Linked DNA regions of Drosophila melanogaster. Changing the gene in region 1 together with any one later gene gives a genetic interaction. Each region holds a gene or a part of one and is shown on either strand. Other genes may lie near its edges.

Region 1 (5,524 bases):
TAAAAAAAAAATAAATCAAATAAGCATAATTAAAACGAAAAATATGTATTGCATAATAAAGTTGTTATTAAAATGTATGATACAATTTTGGGAGTGTAAAAGAAAATATACATAAATTAGCCAAAAAATATAAAAATACCAGTGTATTCTTGTTTAACGATTGGCCAAATAGAATGTGCATTAAGAGAGCATTTCGACCCTAATAGTTTTCTACTTTCTCTCTCAGTAATACAATCTTATTGTGATGTTTCTGCGTAACGTATCGACTCTTTCTTTGTTGGATGTTTTTAGTGATGTCTACCTCCACGCAATGAACTAAGGAATTTGCAGCAACCCAGGATGATTTGTGGTCATCTTTGTGCGACTCAGATGAGTAAGGCCTATATAGATCAGCCAACAACATTTTTGACAGACGCAAAGAGTATGCTGCAGTCGAGTTTGACGACTAACAGATACCTATTGATAGAAATTGCCAGGACAATTGTTTTATAAATATGATTGGTATCTCTTATTTTTAATTTGAGTTGCCCGAGTCAAAAATCTGAAGAAGCTTTTTTTATTCTTTTTGACCTGCGAGCTACAAAAACCAGGTCCTCGCATAAAACAGATTTTATATCATTTTTTAGTTCTTTTTTTATTATTTAACTTTTTTGTGGATGTCACAATTCTCATCGGGTTTGAATTAAATATTCCACTTTTTATTTAAATTAAATAATAAATTGTCCTATTTAAACTTTATAATTAACATAATTGTAGTTCTTTAGGTCTGTACTATGTTGATTTGTAGTTGTAGTTGTTGCTGCTGCTGCATTTGCGTGCCGGACTGTGACTGAACACAATAATACAGTTTGACATCCTGCAGTGGTTGTGGGTAAGTTGATGGACAGCACCATTACTTGGTCGCCGACTTCAGGTAGGCGATCAGATCGCCGCGCTCGTTGGGCTTCTTCAGACCGGCGAAGATCATCTTGGTGCCGGGGATGTACTTCTTGGGGTTCTCCAGGTACTCGAACAGGGTGTCCTCGTTCCAGGTGATGCCCTTGGCCTTGTTGGCGTCCGTGTACGCGAATCCGGCCGCCTGTCCGGTCTTGCGACCGATCAGACCATGCAGATTGGGTCCAACCTTGTGCTTGCCACCAGCCTCAACGGTGTGGCACTGGGCGCAGCGCTGCACGAACAGCTTCTTTCCCTTCTCAACATCACCAGCAGGAACGCCCATTATGGATTATGTGGTTAATTAATGTGTTAACACGGACTCGACTGTAAAAAGAAATGTTTGTTATTAATGAGTGGTTCATAAAACAAGGGTAACCAATATATCTGTTATCTTACATCTTAGGTTTGAAAAACTTAAAAAACTGGCTACTAAATGGTTCAAAGTTCATAACTGCTACCAATTAATTTGTTCTATTCTGATAAATTGATTACAATATATATTTTATATCATTTGCTTATGTACTTAGTCCGAAATTCTGGTTTCACTGCAAAAAATAGTTATACGATATTTGATACCATTTATTATTAGCCCCAATGAACCATTGTGTAGATACTGATAAAAGCTTCACTTTCAGCCATACATTATCAAAAGATTATTGAATAAATAAACCCGAAATTTAAAATTTATTAACCAGTTGATTTCCCAACGTTACTTATATAATATTATATATTTTTAAGGTATTAAAATAATAACGTCTTTATATCATCAAAAATTTCCATGCTTGGGAAATAATGGGTTAATGTAGGTAGTTATGGACCGTGAATTAATATTTGTCCCCTTGCCCCGTTATGTAAACAATTGATAAGCTCCCTGCGGAAACGGAATTATTAAAATTGCTCATGCTAAGTGCATTAGTCGGCTGTTGTTTCTGATAAGGCCCGAAATTATTATCTAACGTAGTCTGCATTTCCATTTGCGGCCACCCCCTTTTTAACCCACATACTTTGCTCTCACTAATACGCGCGTGGAGGGCGTCGCAACGTCATCAGAAACACACTTTGAAAAAGCTTCAGACGCTGGTCACATGTTGCCCCCACACTCTTTCTCTCCTTCTCACACTCTCTTTGTGTCTCACTCGCTTATATTTGCCAGTCGCCGATTAATTGCGTCAGAACTGCTCAGCAACAGGCGGAAAACTTCCAGGAAGCATCATAATACGAAAAACGTTAGTTGTTTACATAACTATTCTATTATTCCAGGGTCTGTGTTACGGTCATCCTGCTAATTGCCGGATTATAAATTGCATGCAGCAATTTGAACTTGAGAGTGCAAAGTACCGTTGCGGTGAGTAATTCACCTACACATCACGCACATAGACTGAGAGAAATTCGATTAGCTGAAGCTCTTTCAATTCTAGAAAACTAATTTTATTTTATATGCATTTGTCTATAAAAACAAACCTAATATATATAGACTATTGATTTTGTGCGCTTTTACACATAATTTGCATTTAATATCAACCTTTTTTTCACTTCTTTCTGTGTAGAGTATCATGCACTTTGGCAGTGAGAGGTGGCAAAGCAACAACAATGTCAACATCCGATTTGGCCTTGTTGAGTATTTTTCAGTTAATTGCCGTGCGTGAGTGTGCGTGAGATGAAGGGAAAGTGCAATTGGAAAATTGGAAGCAGGCCAAAGGCAGCTGTGTTTTTCCTTGTGTGGGTGAGCAAGGTGGTGAGAACAAAGAGATGAGTGAAAATTGGGCCAACATCCAAGTTTCCTGAGAGCAGCGAATGTTACATAAGCCGCCTTTTCGCAGAGGTGAATTCTCTTTTATTTATATTATAGAAAACTGCACATCGCAGAAAGCAAAACCTGCTTAGCAACCACGTGGCGCGCTTAAAGACTCCAAAGCTGAAGCATTGACAAAAAATCCAAGAATTAATTTTTGCCACTGAGCGAGCGAGACAGCTGATGATCGGGTACGCCACTCTCTTTGCTCATGTAATCGACTCTCTCCGGGGCTTTTTTCAATGGCAATGTGACTTTGGGATGCTATTTTTACTATTAATACACCACTGCTAATATTTGCTAAATAAACTATTAAATATCTAATAAAAAATCACACTTATACACACACACACAAGGACACGTTTATGTAACCTGAATCATCCCCCAAAGAATACGTTAAATTTGCATGCGAATCATTTTCAGAACAAAACACAGCTGCTGGATGTTACGTAAATGACACGGAAGTGTTTCTAATCTTTATCTGACTTGGGGCTTGATAATCAATAACTATTCAAGGTAATATTTACGTCACTTGAAAATACAAAAATTCCACCCACTACTTACATTGAACACAAACGTCGAGCGTCGCCGATTTTTCACGAATGACGAGCGCGCGTTATGTCGATAGGTAATTAGTGTGACCAGAGTGACCGGGGGCCACGCATTAAAAAATGTCGCAAGCTTTTGTACCCGTATTTATCCACCACACGGCGTATAAGTAATTTTTTCCCCTATTAACGGGACTATATTGGAAAGCCTCTGGAAAATTTGCATTATTTAACAAGCTTCTCCAATTTATTACATTTTGCTAGTAGGACCATAAAACCAACTGTGACCAAAGCTGATTGGTACAACACTTTCCTCCACCCGCGTCGCACACAACTTGAATTAAGAAGAGGGTTTTTGGTTTATCAACTTTAATTGGCTAAAGTGAAAGTAAACCTTTTTGAAATGTATTTGAGCTCGACCATTCCCAATCAAAGTTTCGAAATCCAAGTGAAATACGTCATCTTTTGAATATGTTTGTAGTCTTTAAGCGCAGTTTTCTGGATAGCATGGTGGCCGATCTTGTTGTTTCGCAGGCGATTCTACTTGTTTGACTTGAGGAAGGCAATCAAATCGGCCCGCTCCTCAGCCTTTTTAAGACCTGCGAACACCATCTTTGTTCCGGGAATGTATTTCTTCGGGTCCTTGAGGTACTCGTCCAAATTCCCCTCTGTCCAGGTAACGCCCTTCTTTATATTGGCATCGGTATACTTGTATCCCGCTGCTGTGCCACACTTGCGACCCACGACCCCGCCAAGATTTGGGCCCACCTTGTGTTTGCCGCCCACTTCGTAGGTGTGGCACTGGGCGCACTTCTGCACAAATATCTTCTTGCCGTTCTCTGCATCACCAGAACCCATCTTGGAAGCCTGAAAGACAAATAGGGAAAAATGATATTTATGATTTAGAATTCAACTTTTTATGCAGCTTTTATTTCTATATTTTTTAATTTTTTGTTATTTGTTTTTTGTTAATTTGGATCAAATAGAAATTGGTTGATTCCGAAACTATCATGAAAAAGAAAAGTGTAGAACTAAAAATTTGATAGAAAAGAAAAACAGATTCAATTTGTTTCAGTGTCCTAAAAAACCGTTTGAAAAGTGCAAGTCCTGGACAACTGAGAGAGAGAGAGAGAGCGTTTCTCTTGGTCACTCTCTTGGCTGCACAGCGATAGACAGAGACAGCTGCTAATGCACGAAAGCAAAACAAAATTGGGTCAGAAAAATAGGAAAAACGAAAATTAAATCAAAATGGGTATTAAATGAAAAGCAAACAAGCAGCTCGAGAACTTGTCGGCACTTCTAATGGGAAAAGCAACCGAAAGGTAATTCAATTAGCAGACACATTCGGCTTGCCACCCCCTTTCCCAACCAATTCGTTGACTAGCAGATGCACATGTGCTTTGAACATTTCCTTTCAATTAAAACGCATTTTACGCACTCTCCGCTTTCGCCCCCTGCCTTCCCCTCTCTCAACCATTTTCCTGTGGCAAAAACAGATGCCACCGCATAACAAAACCAAAAAAAAAAAAAACAAAGCAGAGGGAAATGAATAACGGGAAAGAGACATGGAACCATGCCGCATACAACGGTCACACAGGGATGATATTCACCTGCAATTTAAAATTTAAAGGATCAATTGAAAATATTAACTATGTTTATCTCAACCAATTATCTTAAAATTAAATTTGTTTTAAATTTACAAGAGTGCATTATGATATTTTTCAGAGAATGATATTATTTATATATTTATATTACGTACGTATGTAAATGTCACATTCTAAATCCAAACAATGACATTTTCCTGGCAGCCCTGCACTGGTATTAGGTGTACTCCCTGTGCATCCATCTACATACATACATACATATATCCCCAATGGGACATCCTGGTTGTGACCTAACCTAATTGGCAATGGAACCATAATTTACCCGCAGGCTAAACTATCCTGCCTGTTGGCCCGAGTTCTTTTGCCGGACCACTATAAATAAATGGTGCAAGAAATTAAATTACGCTTGAACGGGCTCGGCCGAACATGGGGTAGTAGTAGGAAAGAGATAGCCTGCGGAAAGGTTGTGGGGAGGCTATATTGTTTACTAGATCTATTGCTGCGGAAGTCCATAAAAAGGTGAGAGGATGGTCCAGGACAAATAGAGTTCAAAAAGAGTGCAAAGGCACAAAGGAGTCTGCGTGCTAAAGGAGGTGCAGATATTGAATTGCCTGTAAGGTGCGGAAATTGTTATGCAAAAATAA
Region 2 (5,057 bases), on another chromosome or scaffold:
TGCTGGATGCTGCGTTGATCGCTGCTCCGCCGACTGGAGATGGAGCCACTGCGCTAGCACCAATACCACTGGTCGCAGTAGTGTTCGTAGCGCTGCTACTGTTACCCAGATAGCCACTGTGGCCAGTGGTGCTGCTGGCGTCCACGAATCCCGATTCCGAGAGACTGGCCGCCGAGCGATTCAGACGAAATTTCTTGCGCAGCGAACTGGCATCGCCACTGCTGTAGTCCATCACAATGGATGCCTGTGTGGTGGCGCCACCACTGCGACGCTGCTTGTGCCGTCCCAGATTCCTTGAGCCCAAGGCGGCCACCTGGTCGCCATCCTCCTCGTCCTCATCCTCCTCCGCCTCCGCCTCCGCCACGTCTTCATCACTCAGCAGATCCGACTGCTGGTGATGCTGCTGCTGCTGATGGTGATTCAATTGCAAATGGCGAATTTTGCGCTTGCGCGAAGATGTCACCGTAGCCAGCTCATGTGGCGTGGATGTGGTCTGTGTAGAGCCACTGTTACCGCCCAGTTTTTTGGGCGTACGTCCCAGATCCAGATGCTCCAGCGAGGACTCCGATGTGGTGGAGTCCCGTCGCTGGCGCTCCATTTCCGATTCCACTGTGCTGTTGTTGTGCTGTTGCTGTGCGGCGAGCATTTTTCCAACGGCTAGTTAACTGTGCTGATTTAGAAGATTCGAGAGAAAAAGAAGAAAGGACTTTTAGAGATGGGTATAGATAAAGCACGTGTAATAAGAACTCTATCGAAAAATCGAAGCACTTGAACAAGTGTTGACACTAATTAGATAACTCGAAGACAAAAGAAGTGTATCAAATATACTAAACACTTATAATCGCAAGTATTTTTATTACTTTTTGTCCAACCCCACCAAAGTTTTGCAACACTCGCTGATTCAAAAATGTAATTACTAGCTTTATGAAAGTCTGAAGATGGAAAGAAATCACGCGTAAACAAATGATATCCACACTGACAGCGTTCCATTCTGTAAACTGGGTGTAGGGTTCAATTAATAACAGAAAATCGATAGTGGGGCACCCTGCATTCTCCAGTCTTCGATTGTCGCGTAATACTAAACTAAATCTTGAGTAACGTAAACAGCTGATTCAGGCAAGTAAACAATGCAACGGAAAGATGAAAAAACAGAAGCGGAAAAGCTATTTGAAATCGAGTTCCTGTGAAGAGCGAATAAGAAGAATTGGCGACTGTTGCAAGTGCATCCGCAGAAAGGTGCGAAGAATTGAATTCAATACACATCTGGCAATGCTGCTCTTATCAAGAATTTCGGTGTGTGGGTGAAAAATGTGGGTACACTCATTAGCATTTACCGTTATCAAGGCTATGACTATGAGCGGTGTCCCAGTTGTTGTCGTTGTTGTTGTTTCTTTGGGTGGTAGTGGATCGATTTGAAAATCCTAACTTCCCCCCGAAAGGCAACAAAAATAAAGAAACTCTGAAACCTCAGAGGCTGATCAAAAATTTCTACCGATAACGAGCCCACTGTTCGCTATATATACATACACACATGCATACATCCAGTCATATACACATATAATTTTTTCGGTAAATGTGTGTTAGTTGTTTGTTGTCCATTGGCTTTCGGTTTGGCCTTTCATTTTGGTTGGCTGATTTCAATTTCGTTGTCCATGAGTCATGAAAAGTCATTGAGATAAAGATTCCCTCCCGAATATATACTTTTTGGGGCGGGGAATTGTTGGGCGGTTTTCACACCTTTATGACCCTTGGGAATTATCAATGAACACAACTTGGTCAGTGAAAAAACAAATTTCTAATCGCCATCTAACGGAATCAAGCCGAGTGAAGTGAACCGTTTGACATGGAGCACAACCCCTGCGATATTAAACAGATCATCAATCTGAATTAAACCCTATAAACGTCGCCTCATCATCCCTGACCACGGAAATTTCTGGCTTTTCGGACTGGACTGTCTGTGTGTGCGTGGTGTGTCAAAGTTCAAGGGTTTTAGCATCGGTCATGGGTAATTTTTTGACCCGGCTAATTGCAGGCAGAACTTGACCCAAAACACCAAGGGAGGGGTTTTGGGAATGGACTTGAATTGAAATGTTTTCAAACATTGTGATCGTAGGAAAATAATTTTATATAAACATTTTCCTTTTGATTTAATCGGAATATAATGAATTTGGATCATTAAATTATTTTAACGATTTACGGAAGAATTAAACTGGCATATATATTTTCATTACTTCATCTTTTTTAAATAATATTTCTAATATCTAAGTCGATTTTAAAACACTGCTGCACTTCAATTGCATTTAAAAATTGCATTTCAAATGTGTTTGAAAACTAAGCTTTTAAATTTTATTTTAAAACGGTTGTGCTAATTTTAAATTCAACAATTTTTGTTCTTAACAATTTAACACAAAAATGTTAGCTTAGCTGAAGACCCAATAACTTTTCCAATTTCATCCTTTTGATAATCCATGTTTTCTGCGCTCGATTATTTATCCAAAGCAACAACAAATTGTTCACGCACAAATCACAGAAACAACATAAAAAAAAATCCAAAACAATCACTGTTAAAAAATTACCTTAGTGGATATTTAGTTGTGAAATTGTGTTCAACAGTTGCGACGGCATTCCAACTCCGGATTTCGCACTGTTTTAGGCTTGGTTCCCGTTGAAAAATGATTTTTGGTGGCTTTTTGGTGTTTTGTGTTTTATGTTTAGTGTGTAGGTTTTTTTTTTAATTCTTGTCAGATAACTTAATTCAGATAGCACTTATTTTTTGGTTCACTTAATATTTTTCACACTTCTTTGGCCTTAAAGCTTAGTATTCCAAAAATTCCCAATGGTTTGTCGTTTAAAAAAAAAACGTGAAAAAAATATGCAGTTTGCGTTTGATATTTCTTTGTAGGCTTAGAATTGAGAAATTCTGTTTATGTTTTATTATATTTTTATTTTCTACAAGTTAGTTATTTGATTTGTCTGCTTTTGAGTTGGTTTCTTGAAGCGCCGCGCACGAGTTTTGTATCTTATTCTCAGCGCAGCCGCAGCGCAACCGATTCGGCAGATGAAAATCGACTGATGTTGTATTTATAAAGTTGTATTTATAAATACAACGGCTGCGCTGCGCTGCCGCCGGCGGCGTCGCTGTCCGCGAGAGCGAGAGCGTAAAATTTGAAATGAAAAGAGAAAAGAGAGAAGAGAGAAGCAGTCTGGTTTTTCTCATTTTTTTTTCAACGGAGGCAGCGCAGCTTGGATTTTCTTTCCTTCTCATTCTTCGTTTCAAATTTGTCTTCTTCTTTTTCTTTATTTGGCGCAAATAGGATTACACATTGGGTGCGTGTGTGTGTGTGTGGAAGAGCGAGAGGGCCGTACTCATCTTTCATTGGAATTGGAAATTACAGTGGACACTTGACAACTGGAAATGGGATGCACGATACTAGATCTGAGCGTAGAAGAAGTATATCTAATCGAAGATGCATTATTTGTGTAGTATTTCCTTCTTTTAATATTTATGGAATACTTCAGTTTGACCTAGGACTTTAAACCAAAGTCACCATTTTTTTCAATAACTAGAAAAAAGTATTAATATCGGCAAAATAAATACTTCGGGAAATGAGTCTGAAATCTTGTTAAAAAATGAAACAAAATCAACGGATGTAGGATAGAAATGTGCCAGACTACCAAATCTCCAATTGTCAACTTTTTCTGCCTTCTATACGAGTGATCACTGTATGTAGCACCCACATACACATATGCATATGTCTGGATGCATTTTGGATTTTTGGGCAAATCCCGTTGCCATTGGCCACGCTGGCCATGTTTGTTGCCCTTTCTGTCGCACTTCATCTAGCGATGAGCACATCCAGATCTTCGTGTACATATGCCCATACATATGTATGTATGTATGTATGTATGTATGTATGTACATACATATGTGCTCATCCATAGCTGTGAACATCCCCATCCGTGTATCCGTATCCATTAACCCCCGAGCGGATACTTCCTGGCCAGTTTCTCAACCTTAACCTCTAGCTGTGCCCAGAACGGAAGTCGGAGACGATCGAGTCTCTTTTCGGTCCCTCTTTTCACCTTTCACCTTTTCAGGGTGCGTCATACAGCAATCAAGCAGCATTGAAATTAACATTAATGCACCGAAAGAAATGTCATGTAGCTGCCCGTAGTTCTGCGATTCTTTGGGGATAGCGTTCTCCAAATATAAAGGCTCTTTTTCCATGCTCTTCGATACTCATAGGTGTTTAGGTACCGTCGAGAGGTCAATTTTAAATAGTGTCAGCTGCCGAAAGAATGTACATATGTATGTATGTAAATTAGGTGACCAGCAACCCTTCAGCATCTCATCCAAAAATCGATGCATTCGATCGATTCTCCACTCAAAGAAAAATAATGCAAAACAATTGTAACAACAGAGGTAAAAATAAAAATAAATGAGCACAATAATACAACGCAAGCAAAAGCAGAAAAAAAGGCGGCGAAATTGTGCAAAAAATGCAGCAAGAGTTCAATACACTCGCCCACTCACACACACAGACACAAACACGCGCCCCTACGCACACACACACATACACACACACTAGAAGGCACAGCGACACGTGCAACGCGCTGTTTGTACACAATTTAATAATATTTACGTTTTGTTTATAATGAACTTGAAAAATTCGCACAGTGGTTCAGCGATTAAAAACTATAGCTCACTCAAAAGTGACAAAATTATGTTGTAATCATACAAATTTTTCAGAGATCTTAATATTATTAATATATAATTATCTTATTTTCGGAATTCAGTGTCGAAAAGAATGCAAATTTCCATCGAAAGCGATTGGAAAACTTAGTCGCTTGCGTCACTGTCTTTTTGAGTTGGTTGCGCATGCGCGTGGGTGGCACAATAAATACAATAAATACAAGAAATACAATAAGCACAGTAACAACAGCAACAACAATGACAGCCAACGCCAAGCACAATTACAACAATATAATGATGGTAATGGCAATGCGTGTTAAATATACATTAAAAGCCAGCCAGATATGATATGCATTGCATTTTT

The links. Genes that interact genetically often act in the same process or in processes that back each other up.
Region 2: of Cyt-c-p (region 1) and peb, changing one suppresses a phenotype caused by changing the other (phenotypic suppression), as found in Drosophila melanogaster (one study listed by BioGRID).

The regions. Positions count from the first base shown.
Region 1 is NT_033779.5:16,717,745-16,723,268, reverse strand, and holds Cyt-c-p (cytochrome c proximal), read right to left. Parts: upstream 3,338-5,524; 5' UTR 3,293-3,337; intron 1,261-3,292; 5' UTR 1,220-1,260; coding exon 893-1,219; 3' UTR 625-892; downstream 1-624. Other genes in the region: Cyt-c-d (cytochrome c distal), read right to left, coding at 3,817-4,134. UniProt on the Drosophila melanogaster protein: Electron carrier protein. The oxidized form of the cytochrome c heme group can accept an electron from the heme group of the cytochrome c1 subunit of cytochrome reductase.
Region 2 is NC_004354.4:4,615,583-4,620,639, reverse strand, and holds the start of peb (pebbled), read right to left. Parts: upstream 3,077-5,057; 5' UTR 2,577-3,076; intron 671-2,576; exon of another isoform or gene 666-670; 5' UTR 647-665; coding exon 1-646.